2 linked regions of the Drosophila melanogaster genome follow. The protein of the gene in region 1 purifies or fractionates together with the protein of each later gene. This does not show direct contact. Each region holds a gene or a part of one and is shown in the gene's direction. Other genes may lie near its edges.

What was found. The genes of interacting proteins can lie anywhere in the genome.
Region 2: the proteins of Trmt6 (region 1) and CG17187 purify together in Drosophila melanogaster (affinity purification with mass spectrometry, with the first as the bait; one large-scale study listed by BioGRID). This does not show direct contact.

The regions. Positions count from the first base shown.
Region 1 is NT_033779.5:6,558,421-6,564,221, reverse strand, and holds Trmt6 (tRNA methyltransferase 6 non-catalytic subunit), read left to right. Parts: upstream 1-2,561; 5' UTR 2,562-2,654; coding exon 2,655-3,645; intron 3,646-3,705; coding exon 3,706-4,049; 3' UTR 4,050-4,170; coding exon of another isoform or gene 4,171-4,454; 3' UTR 4,455-4,510; coding exon of another isoform or gene 4,511-4,691; 3' UTR 4,692-4,796; downstream 4,797-5,801. Other genes in the region: Ent2 (equilibrative nucleoside transporter 2), read right to left, coding at 149-1,525; COX5BL (cytochrome c oxidase subunit 5B-like), read right to left, coding at 4,171-4,454, 4,511-4,691; COX5B (cytochrome c oxidase subunit 5B), read right to left, coding at 5,177-5,283, 5,631-5,801.
Region 2 is NT_033777.3:11,229,350-11,234,058, reverse strand, and holds CG17187 (uncharacterized protein), read left to right. Parts: upstream 1-2,179; 5' UTR 2,180-2,350; coding exon 2,351-3,250; 3' UTR 3,251-3,442; downstream 3,443-4,709. Other genes in the region: Arfip (arfaptin), read left to right, coding at 1-137, 489-657, 735-842, 933-977; Dph3 (diphthamide biosynthesis 3), read right to left, coding at 1,641-1,718, 1,791-1,865, 1,935-2,042; GCC88 (GRIP and coiled-coil domain containing 88 kDa), read left to right, coding at 3,610-3,691, 3,745-4,709.

The DNA.
Region 1 (5,801 bases):
AAGAATATAATTAATTGGTTAAGACGAAACCAAATGGCCAGGTCCCGGAACTGGTATTGAGCACAAAACTAAATTTAAAATGTGTCAAATAATGCAATGCAATGAACAATGAAAATTGTTAGTAAGCGTCATACTAATAAATGTAAGACTACACGACGAAAAATGGTCCCAGATACGAGAACAGCACTCCGGAGAAGATGCCCGTGATCAGCATGGCAGCTGCGTACATTCCGGCAGTGGTCTGGTATTTGGTGTGCACCGTCTGCGGGGCGTACATCATGCCCAGAGAGCTGAGATACCCGGAGCTGTAGGCCATTGCGATGCCGATGCCCCAGTACACCCAATCGTTCTCGATGAATACGGCCAATGAGCGCACCGAGTCCGGCGGAACGTAGTTGCACATGACAAACAAGGGGATGAACGCCAGACGCAAGACCACTGGCACCCAGAGGAACCTCGGACCCGGCCATTGCACCCACGATGTGGTTAAACTGCCCAGCATTGCGAAGACGTTAAAGGTCGCGAAGCAAGTGACCAGTGTAAAGTAGTCCGGGCCTACTACGAAATTTGGGTCGGAGCGGTGCACGTTCGACTGAATCGCCGGGAAAACCGACAACGTGACGAAAAACGTGAGGAAGATGTTGAATAGTTGGGGCGCTGCTTTCTTGAAGATCTGCCAGTAAGGCACGTTCAGCTGGGCCTTAGAATCAGATTTCTTTTCGCTGCTCCGGCTAATGGTCTCGTAGTGCCGGAAGAACTTGTTCAGCGGCAGCGCAAAGTACGTGTCGAAGCAGAGCAGCAGCACTAGGATGGCGGTCACGAAGTAGTAGATGGCCGAAGTCCTCTTGGACGAGAAGATCTCACCGCATATCAAGGCCATGGCGGTGGTGAAGCAGCCGCTGATGTTGGAGCCCAGGACGACGGCGCCTGTGTACTTGATGGGCAACGATGCCACTATTCCGTATATGGTGTTCTGGTAGATGCCGTTGCACACGTTTAACAACACAATGCACACCATGGTGGTCCAGAAGAAGACGCCCGGCCACTGCGAGGAGTCGAGCATGGCCAAAATAATGGTAACCAGCAGAATGACCATTTCGAAGATGATGCTGTAGACGATTCGGGTGGTCAGGTCGCCGCCAAAGTTGACAAAGATGTTCAGCCAGTTGAAGACCAGGTTAGGAATCTGCGAGGCAAAGCCCATATTTTGCATGAAATGGGTGCGGTAACTCACTTCCGTGGCCACGGTGTTGTTTGGTCCGAACTTGAAGTCCTCGAAATAGGACTTGGCCGTGATGAACATGTTCCATGGCATCAGCGTGCCCACGCCGTGCAGCAGGAATATAAAGAACACGATAAGGAATTTATCTTTTGGCGCTGGCAGGCCCAGTTTCGCCAACACCGACGTTGATCCCTTGCCGTTGGAATCATGGGGCGGCAACTTGGATTCCCACGAGGGATTTAACGTCACCGGCGCCTGCTGTTTGCCAATAAAAGGCGACTTCTCCGATTTAGCCTCCGCCATATCTGCGCGACTTCTGTTCTGCTCTGGCTCGGATTTCTTTCTGGTTCTGCTGATGCGGGCGACAGCAGTTATTGGGGCGTGTGCTTGAGGCGTTTGCTTGAAACCCGAAAACTTGCGCGGTCAGTTATTTTCGCGGTGGCCACAAAACCGGTAGGAGGGCGGGAAGGTTTGATTTTCCCTGCGCCTGCGACAGCACTCTGATTTCGGGATTAGGGTATATCCTCGTGGCGGGGGGTTCGCCTGGAACTAGTGGTCACGTGGAGACGCAACTGCAGTGCCCGAAGAGCGCTGATTACAACACAGATCCAATCAAAGGTTAAAACCGCACCGCACTACAAGATTATCGCCGCGTTGTATCAGCTGTACTCGATCGAACGGCGTTGCCACACCGTTGAAAATTATGATTTATGGGCGTCGATACAAGCGATTTGAGGGGTGCCGTTACGCATGGGCGCAGTCCTTCCCTTCCGTAATCGCCAAGAGGGACCGTAAGTATGGGCAGTAAATAATGTATTTTTGGCAATGATTATTACTTAGTCATAGTAATTCAAGGTATTTACTCACACTTTCACCATCCCTGTTAGCTACACCCATGTTCAACTTAAGCATTCATAGCAACCAACTCTACTTATTAAAGCACAACAGCAAACAGCCACTTATCTCAAAAATGGGTAATGTATGTACATATTTGTTGTATATTATTTTTGTGTATATTTTAACTAGGAGTATTGATATTGTGCTTGAATGTTCTAATTGCATGATCAAAAATTAATTAGTTAAAGTAAATGAAATTTTTGGTATAAGTACTCATGGTTATTTCTTAATTAGAATTGTGAAACATTTGGCCAAGCAACAGGTAATGGAGCTGCCAGATCAGTCAAATATCAATCCAAATATTCTTGTTTGCATAAATGAATTTGTATTGCCAAATTAAGAAAATAATTTGTTGTTAATTATAGCTCTTTATTTAAAATTTCGTTACTAATCACATGCAACAGGTGACTAGATTACCAGATTTTGTCCGTTTTCCAGCACTGAATTTCTCTTCCTCTTCTCTATAGAATTTGCGGCTTTCGTTTGTTTTCGACAAACACGTTGTTTATAAGAATTATAACATAGAGTTGCAACCATGGCCACCGAAGAGGACATCCCCAGAATCCAATTGGGCGACTACATCGTCATCCAGCGGCAGAAATATACGAAGCTACAAAAATTCGGCAGTCTGGACACCACGGCCACATTGGGCAAAGAAACACTGGAGCTGAAGTCTCTTTTGGACCAACCCTATGGCTCCACGTTCAAGATGTGCGTCAAAGAGACAAAGCCGGGTAAAAGGGGCGCCCAGAGACAACACACCTTGGAGCTGTGCAGCGAGACTGAGCTGAGAAGCACGCGAGAGGTTCTGGGCATCTCCAGCAGTGGAGCGGATAATCGGGACATCCGGGATGATGGAGAAGCGCAGACCCTGAAACCAGAGGACATTGCGCAGCTGCGTGAGGAGTGCAACGACTCCAGCAAAATCATCGAGAAGCTGGTGGAGAATTCTAAGACTTTCCACAACCGAACGGAGTACTCCCAAGAGAAGTACCTGCTAAAGAAGGAGAAAAAGTATTTCGAGTTCGTTCAAATCCGCCAGCCAACGATCCGTCTGATGCTGGACATCTTCTACCGCCAAGACTCGGAAAAGGTCATGGGCATTCGCGTTGACACTTTATCGCAAATTATTTCTTACTCGGGCGTTTGTGGATTCGGCAGCTATCTGCTGTACGAGAGTGGTACCAATGGTCTACTGCCGGCTGCCATGCTCAACTCTATAGGCGCAGGCACGGAGGGCACCCTGGTGCACATGCACCCGGGCAATGTGCCCCAGAAGCAGGCGCTCTCAGCTCTGAAACTACCCCTGGAGCAGCAACAGCGATGTGTTTCCGTTAATCTCTATTCCGTTTTAAGGGAGTTTTACCAAGGAGGGGACGCGAAGGCCACAGATATTCCCGTTGTGGAGCCCAGTGAAAACGAACCTCAGGAAACCCAGCTGGAGACGCCAACGGAGGAACAACCTGAGGCGATAGAACCGACCACAAAGAAACCCAAGCTGGATGAGTCAAATAGTGGTAGAGAAGGTATTGGTCACAATAGTAAACTAATCAAGACAAGTACAAATACTATTTCTGTTGTTATAGGAGCAAAGGGACCTCCGCGCTGGCATTTGGAAAACAAGCGGGCCACGGCCCTGATGCACGCCGAATTCGACAGTCTGGTGGTGGCCGCCAAGGAGCACCCATCCAACATTCTGCAAGCCCTGCTGCCTCTTGTGAAACCCTCAAGACCCGTGGTGGTATTCAGCACCTGCAAGGAGCTGTTACAAGAGACATTCATGGAGCTGAAAACAACAGGCAAGGTGACGGGTCTGCACTTGACCTCGAACTGGCTGCGCACCTACCAGATCCTGCCCAATCGCACACATCCGGAAGTGAATATGAGCGGAAATAGTGGCTACCTTTTGACGGGCTATACGCTTAGATAGTTGTTGTGCGTCTAACAAATACATGTAAGCCTTTGTTTTGATAATATCATGCAATGTTTAATGCCAGCTGAGGATCATGCCAAGTGTGTTCGTGTTAAGTACAGCGCTCTGTGTGATCGATCTAAACGGGTGGGACATTCTTGAGGATGAAGTAGTGGCCGCACTCGCACCGCTTCGGTCCCTCGTCCTTCTCAATCCACATCCACTTGGGCAAGCGGTCATCCAGGCACAGACAGCCTACGAGGCGTGCATCGAACGCCGATGGCACGACGGTGGGGTCGTTCTCCCTTCCCGATCCGCGCCTGATCACCTTGCTGAAACCCCAAGGGTCCTCGCAGCCCTGCTTGGCCAGCAGCATTTCGCGCTTCTGAATCCCGGTGACCAGTTGATCGTCCGCAATTAGCGCTAATCGGGCATGAGACCTGAACTGGAGATCTTTGCAAGCTGCAACCACTACTTACCTGACTTTTGCACCTGAGTTGTGGATATGGGACGCTGTTGAGGAGCAGCGGCTGATCCTTGCCACTGTAAACCTAGTCGTCGAAGCAAAGAGCTTAGCTTTCCGTCGCGCTGGGTTAAATTGGAGATCAGACGTTTGGAGGCGGACTGAGCCTTAAGTAGACGCGAAATGTAGGACGACATTTTTAAAGGAGTTTATCTAGAAAATTATGGTTATCACACGAGAATTTCCCACTTTGAGTGAGTTGAATCTGATCAAAGGGTTTTGAAAATGTTTGATTTCTTATTAAGACGCCTACTGCCTTATTAAAATTAAATTAGTTCTGCGATTTTAAACATTTTTAAACGAAATTCAACTTTCTTCTGTCTTTAGACAAGCTTTTTTAAAATAAATCCTTTGATTTTCACTCAAAATCTCTTCTTTAGACTTTATTGTTCGCTTTTTGTGTTAATTAAGCAATTTTCCTCGGCTGCGTTCGAAAACACGTTTGCAGATCTGAAAATGGAAGCTGTGCCGCCCTTTCACTCCTCTCTGTTCACAGTTTCGTTTTTTTTTTTTTTTTTGGGTTGATGTTTGTTTATTTGGACAGCTAAGTGGGTTGACTTTTAGCTTAGTAGTTGTTGTGTTTTTGTTATTAATTGGTTTATTGAATTAATTAATAATAACTTTAAACAGCTGCCTTCTCCACCAGCTTGAACCAATGGCCGCACTCACAACGTTTCTGGTTGCCCTTCTGCAGCCACATCCATTGCACGTAGGTCTGATCCTCTTCGCCTGGTTTGGAATGAAAGGTTTGTTAGAAAGTACTCTACTGGAATGATGGGCTTTATTTTTGGTCAGGATAAAGGCATTAAGGTTTCCTTAGTTGGAGTGTGTGCAATTATTCAAAATAATATATGAAAACGTTTAAACGCGGTGTGTAGCTAATCAGAGCTCAAAACTTAATTAAATTAAAGCGACTCAATTGGATAAATATTACAATGAAAGGAATTAAATTTTGCTTCGCACAGAAACGTCATTGAAATGCACCTAAACAGAATAGAATGCAAATTTTACGGCTGATAGAATACTCCAATCTCTGCCATTATCCTGACCGCAGCTGGTGTTGTTGGACTACTTACAGATGCAGCCCACAATGCGAGCATCGAAGGCCGATGGAATAAGGTTGGGGTTCTCCTTGGTGCCGGCGCCCCGCTTGAAGACCTTCATGTCGAAGGGGTTATCATTGCCGGCGGCCTTAAGCAGCAGCTCGCGCTTCTCGATACCAGTGGCGTGCTCCAAAGGATCGTTCA
Region 2 (4,709 bases), on another chromosome or scaffold:
GAGACGCAGCGCAATCTCACCAAGAACGGCGAGCTGCTGCTTAATGCGCTCAACTTCTTTATTTCGTCGGTGAACACACTGTGCAACAAGACGATCGACGATACGCTGCTGACGATACGACAGTACGAAACGGCCAGGTAACCAAAGCTATATCCTTTCATTGTCGTGCAACAACGAAGGAAAAATCATCATCGATCTCTTCGATTTTAATTTAAACTCAGCATGTGTGTGGCTTTTTATAAAAAGTGTTGTGCCACACAGCTCTTATCAGAAATGCATTTTAAACTAGCCTTGTATACAAGCTTGAAACATTGCTTATCGTATTATTTCCTTGAAAAAATTTAAATACGTTGGATCAATTAGTCATAACCGCATTCCATGATAATCTCTACAATGGCAATAAGTTTTTATTTCCTAAAGCCATCGTATGTTTCATAAAAAGGCATGAGAATTATATGTAGTAGAAGTAATGTCCTCCTGCCTTTTAGAATCGAATTCGATGCCTACCGCATGGATTTGGAGAACACCAAGCCGGAGCTGACGCCCTCGGCCGTCGCTCTTGAGGAGACCCAGCGCAGCTATGCGCAGCACAAGGAGCAATATGAGAAGCTGCGCTCGGACGTGGCCGTCAAAATGCAATTTCTCGACGAGAATCGCGTAAGTGGTGCCAAATGGATCTTACCTATGCATTTAGCGAGACTAACCATTGATCCAATCCGTTTATCCGTCGATAGATTAAAGTGATGCACAAGCAATTGATTCTGCTGCACAATGCCATCGCTGCCTACTTCTCGGGCAATGCCATGGCACTGGAGAGCACTCTGAAGCAGTTCAACATAAAGGTGAGTGAGCATGGAAACATGGGAGCAGAGTGCTCCCATTAAACTTCGTTCGCACATTCACTTTTTCACTTCTCCTCTTGTGGCCCGCAGCTTAAGTCACCCAATGCCGTCACTGGATCCTGGCTGGAGCAGTAGATCGAGTAGACGCAGTTCGTCCCTTTCACTCGCGAAGCACTTAGGCGCGTATATTGGAGGAGATCGGGACACGTCGTCCACCTCCACTCATTTGCTGAACGAGCACGCTCTCTAAAAGAAAAAGGAAAAGATCGGTGGCAGAGATGATTCAGTATGCGATGCAGTGGACAGAAACACTGCATGGCGAACCATAACAATATTTTCGTGCTAAGTTTAAGTCGAATTCCTAAGCCGTAAGCAGAAAGTGAGAGTGGTAGGTGTATGTTATTTATATATTTTTCCAACCGCTTTCCATTGTATGTAACTCGCTGTACTACTCACATTTCCACAGCTGGTACGCTGACGTTCCTTTAACTTGTTTGTGTTTCCAAATTTTCGTTCGATTATCATCATATTGTTGTCCTCCGCGCTTGTAAAACATATATAACAAAGTGTACTCGGTGCAATATGAGTGTTTTAGTTTTAGATATTCTAGAATGTGTGTATAAATCCTTTGTAATTCACCCAAAACGAATAATCCATAACGAATCGAAACTGTTTTTGCGAGCTTGCATAATTTGAAATCATTGTTTTACTAGTCATCGTATTATTTACACTAAAATGAAGTCTATATATATATAAAAATATATAAATAAAAACTATTTAATTACACCAAACTGTGTGTTAGTTCTTCTCGAGCTTCAGGTCGCCGAGCTTCTCGTTCAGCGCACTTTCTTCATCCTCCTCAGCTTTGAACATCTCCTGAAATTCGGAAAATCAGATTGCTTGAGTTTTCTGGGGAGTTCTAGGTGTATTTCTGAATGAGTCACTTACCGGATCGTATATGACCTTGATGACTAGGGAGCAGCTGGGACAGGTGGCCACCTCCTCGCCCTCGATTAGCTCCTCCTAAAGTGGAAATTTACCAAGTGATATGGGGAGTCCAGAAAAAAAAAGGTTGCGTATACGACTCGTTACCTTGGAGATCTGAAATCGATCGCCGCATGGACAGGGATAGTAGTACATCTCCTCCTCCTCGTCGTACTCGAAGTCCTCGATCTCCACCTCGTCGTGATAGATGCTCATGACGTACCTTCAGCTTAATTCAGCGCCTAAAGGTCATATTATATTTGAGTTTTTTTTGCGATAACTTAGATTAATCCACGCCAAACAAATGGGCACGTTGTGTTGCGGGGCTGCCAACTCGTTGCAGCGAACAGCTGATCCAGTAAACAATTGCAAATGTTTTATTTGGACATTTTTGGACCGCCGGCTGCAGTTGTGAAATAAGTCTCGTATAAAATAGTATATTTTAGCTAACTTTTGCCCAAAAAAGACAAACTGCAAAACAAACCCATGTTCCAGTTGTTGAATAAGGAGTAAAATAAGACTAAATGGCTAGCAAAAAGTACAGTGACGTGAATCTTTACGATCTTCTGGGCATTTCTCTCGAGTCTGATCAAAATGAGATACGCAAGGCGTACCGCAAGAAGGCCCTCGAGTGCCATCCCGACAAGAATCCGGACAATCCGAAGGCAGTCGAGCGCTTCCATGAGTTGTCCAAGGCTCTGGAGATCCTCACGGATGAATCCGCGCGCGCAGCTTATGACAAAGTGCTGAAGGCCAAGAAGGCGGCGGAGCTGAGGAGTCGCCAACTGGACGGGAAGCGGCAGAAGCTGAAGCTGGAACTGGAGGAACGTGAACGGGCGGCACTGCACAAACTGGCGAAGAGCCAACCCTACAGCACGGTGGCCAAAAGCGACGAGGAGGTGCTGCATGAGCAGATCGAGCGGTTGCGACGCGAGGGCTCCCGTCTGCTGGAGGAGGAGCAGCGAGCCATGCAGGAGCAGTTCCGGCGGAATCACGCGGAGCAACAGAAACTGCAGCAACAGCCGGTCCAGTTTGATTCCGCCCAGCATCGCATCAAGATGAAGTGGAAGGCCGAACCTGGCCAGGATTACACACAGCAAGAGCTGCTCAAGTATCTGAAGAAGTACGGCGACGTGGTGGCCCTGGTGGTCAACAGCAAGCGACGCGGACGCGCCATGGTGGAGCTGGCCACGCGCGAAGCCTGCGACATGGTCTTGGCCTACGAAAAAGGCGATCCCGCCAAGCCGCTGCACTTCGAGTGGGTAACGCCGCCGGCGGCAGACAAGCAGACAACCAAATCGGCCACCACTGGGTGCAGTGCGTCATCCACCGACTACGAGGACCTGGTCATGCGAAAGCTGCGCCAAGCTGAGGAACGTAAGAGACTCATTGAGCAGATGATGAAGGACGAGGAGGGCGAATGAAATAAGATTTAGTTAGGCTCAACATTTAATTTACTTTAATTGGACTAATATTAATGTTTGAAAATATCTCAATTTAGCAACTATGCAGCTGATTTATAATACATTTACATTTAAAATAGTTTTTAATTTATGTAAATTTGGTTATTAATTATTTTTTGAAAAACCGCAAAAATAAAAAAAAGTTTAAATCAGAATGATGGCAATTTTTAGTGCCTGAGCAAACATGACAAGTTGGCAGGCCCGCGTGCCAGCTGCTGAAATTTGTTAATTAAAAGAAATGCAAAAATGACACGGGAGATAAATAAATTGAACTACTAAGCGAACTGAAAGTAAATGAACTAATTCCCTTTCAAGGCGAAATGGAGAAGCGACAGAGGGAGCTGGAGGCGCTGGTGTCCACCCAAAAGGAGCAACTGGGGCGCTATGAAAAGCGTCTAAAAGGTGAGACATAGATGAATTCGCAATGCAAATGGATTAATGAGCCCAATTTGTAGACGTGGTCACTGCCTACAAGGGTCTGCTTAAGGAGAAGGAGGCATTGGAGACGAGTCTGGCGGCGCATGCGGAGGCCACGGCGGTGGGCGAGTCCGGATCGCCGGCCAGGGAGTTGGAGTCCAAAAAAACCAGCACCGACTCTGCGGATGGAGCAACCGAGGGCGCTGCACCGGGTCCGCCTGCTCCCCCGGCCGAGGGTCAACTGCAGACCCAAATTATCACCCTGATGAACTCGCTGGCCACTCTTTCCGCTGAGAAATCCCGCATGGAGGCCTCCTTTCAGGCGGATAAAAAGCAACTGCGCAGCCAAATCGCCCAAAAGGAGCAGACCATTCAGGAGCTTAATACCCGGGCCAAGGAGCAGGCTGCTCGGGCCAAAAGCGACGTGGACGAGATCAAGGCCAAGTGGATCGTGGAGCGACAGGAGCGCGAGAAAGAGACCAACAACCAAATGCTCATGATCCGCGAACTGCAGAAACTCTATGCGGACGAGCGGCATCTAAAGGACAACATTGAGATGCAGTTAAACAACTTCAAGACCCAGTTCGCCAGCAACGAGGCAGAGAATAGCCGGCTACGGGAATTGCAATCCCAGCTAAAGGAGGCTCGCTCCCAGCTGAAACAGTTCCAGGCCAAGACCGAGCACTCTGCAGCAGCGTCAGCGAGTGCGGACAGCGCCGCTCTCCTTCAGCAAGTGCGCCTTGAGATGCAGCAACTGAAGGAGCAGCATGCAGTGGCCATTCGTCAGGAACAGCGTCGCGTGCTGCGTGCCGAGGAACAGAGTCGCAGGCAGGCGGCGCTGCACGAGGATCGCGTGGCCAGTCTAGAGGCACGCCTGGCGGAGCTCAGCACCACTGTCGGCAGCTACGACCGCCTGCGTCAGCAAGATCAGGACAGCATCCATGATTTGAAGCAGCAGCTGCAGGATCTAGAGCAGGCACATGTGCGTCCAACATCCAATTCA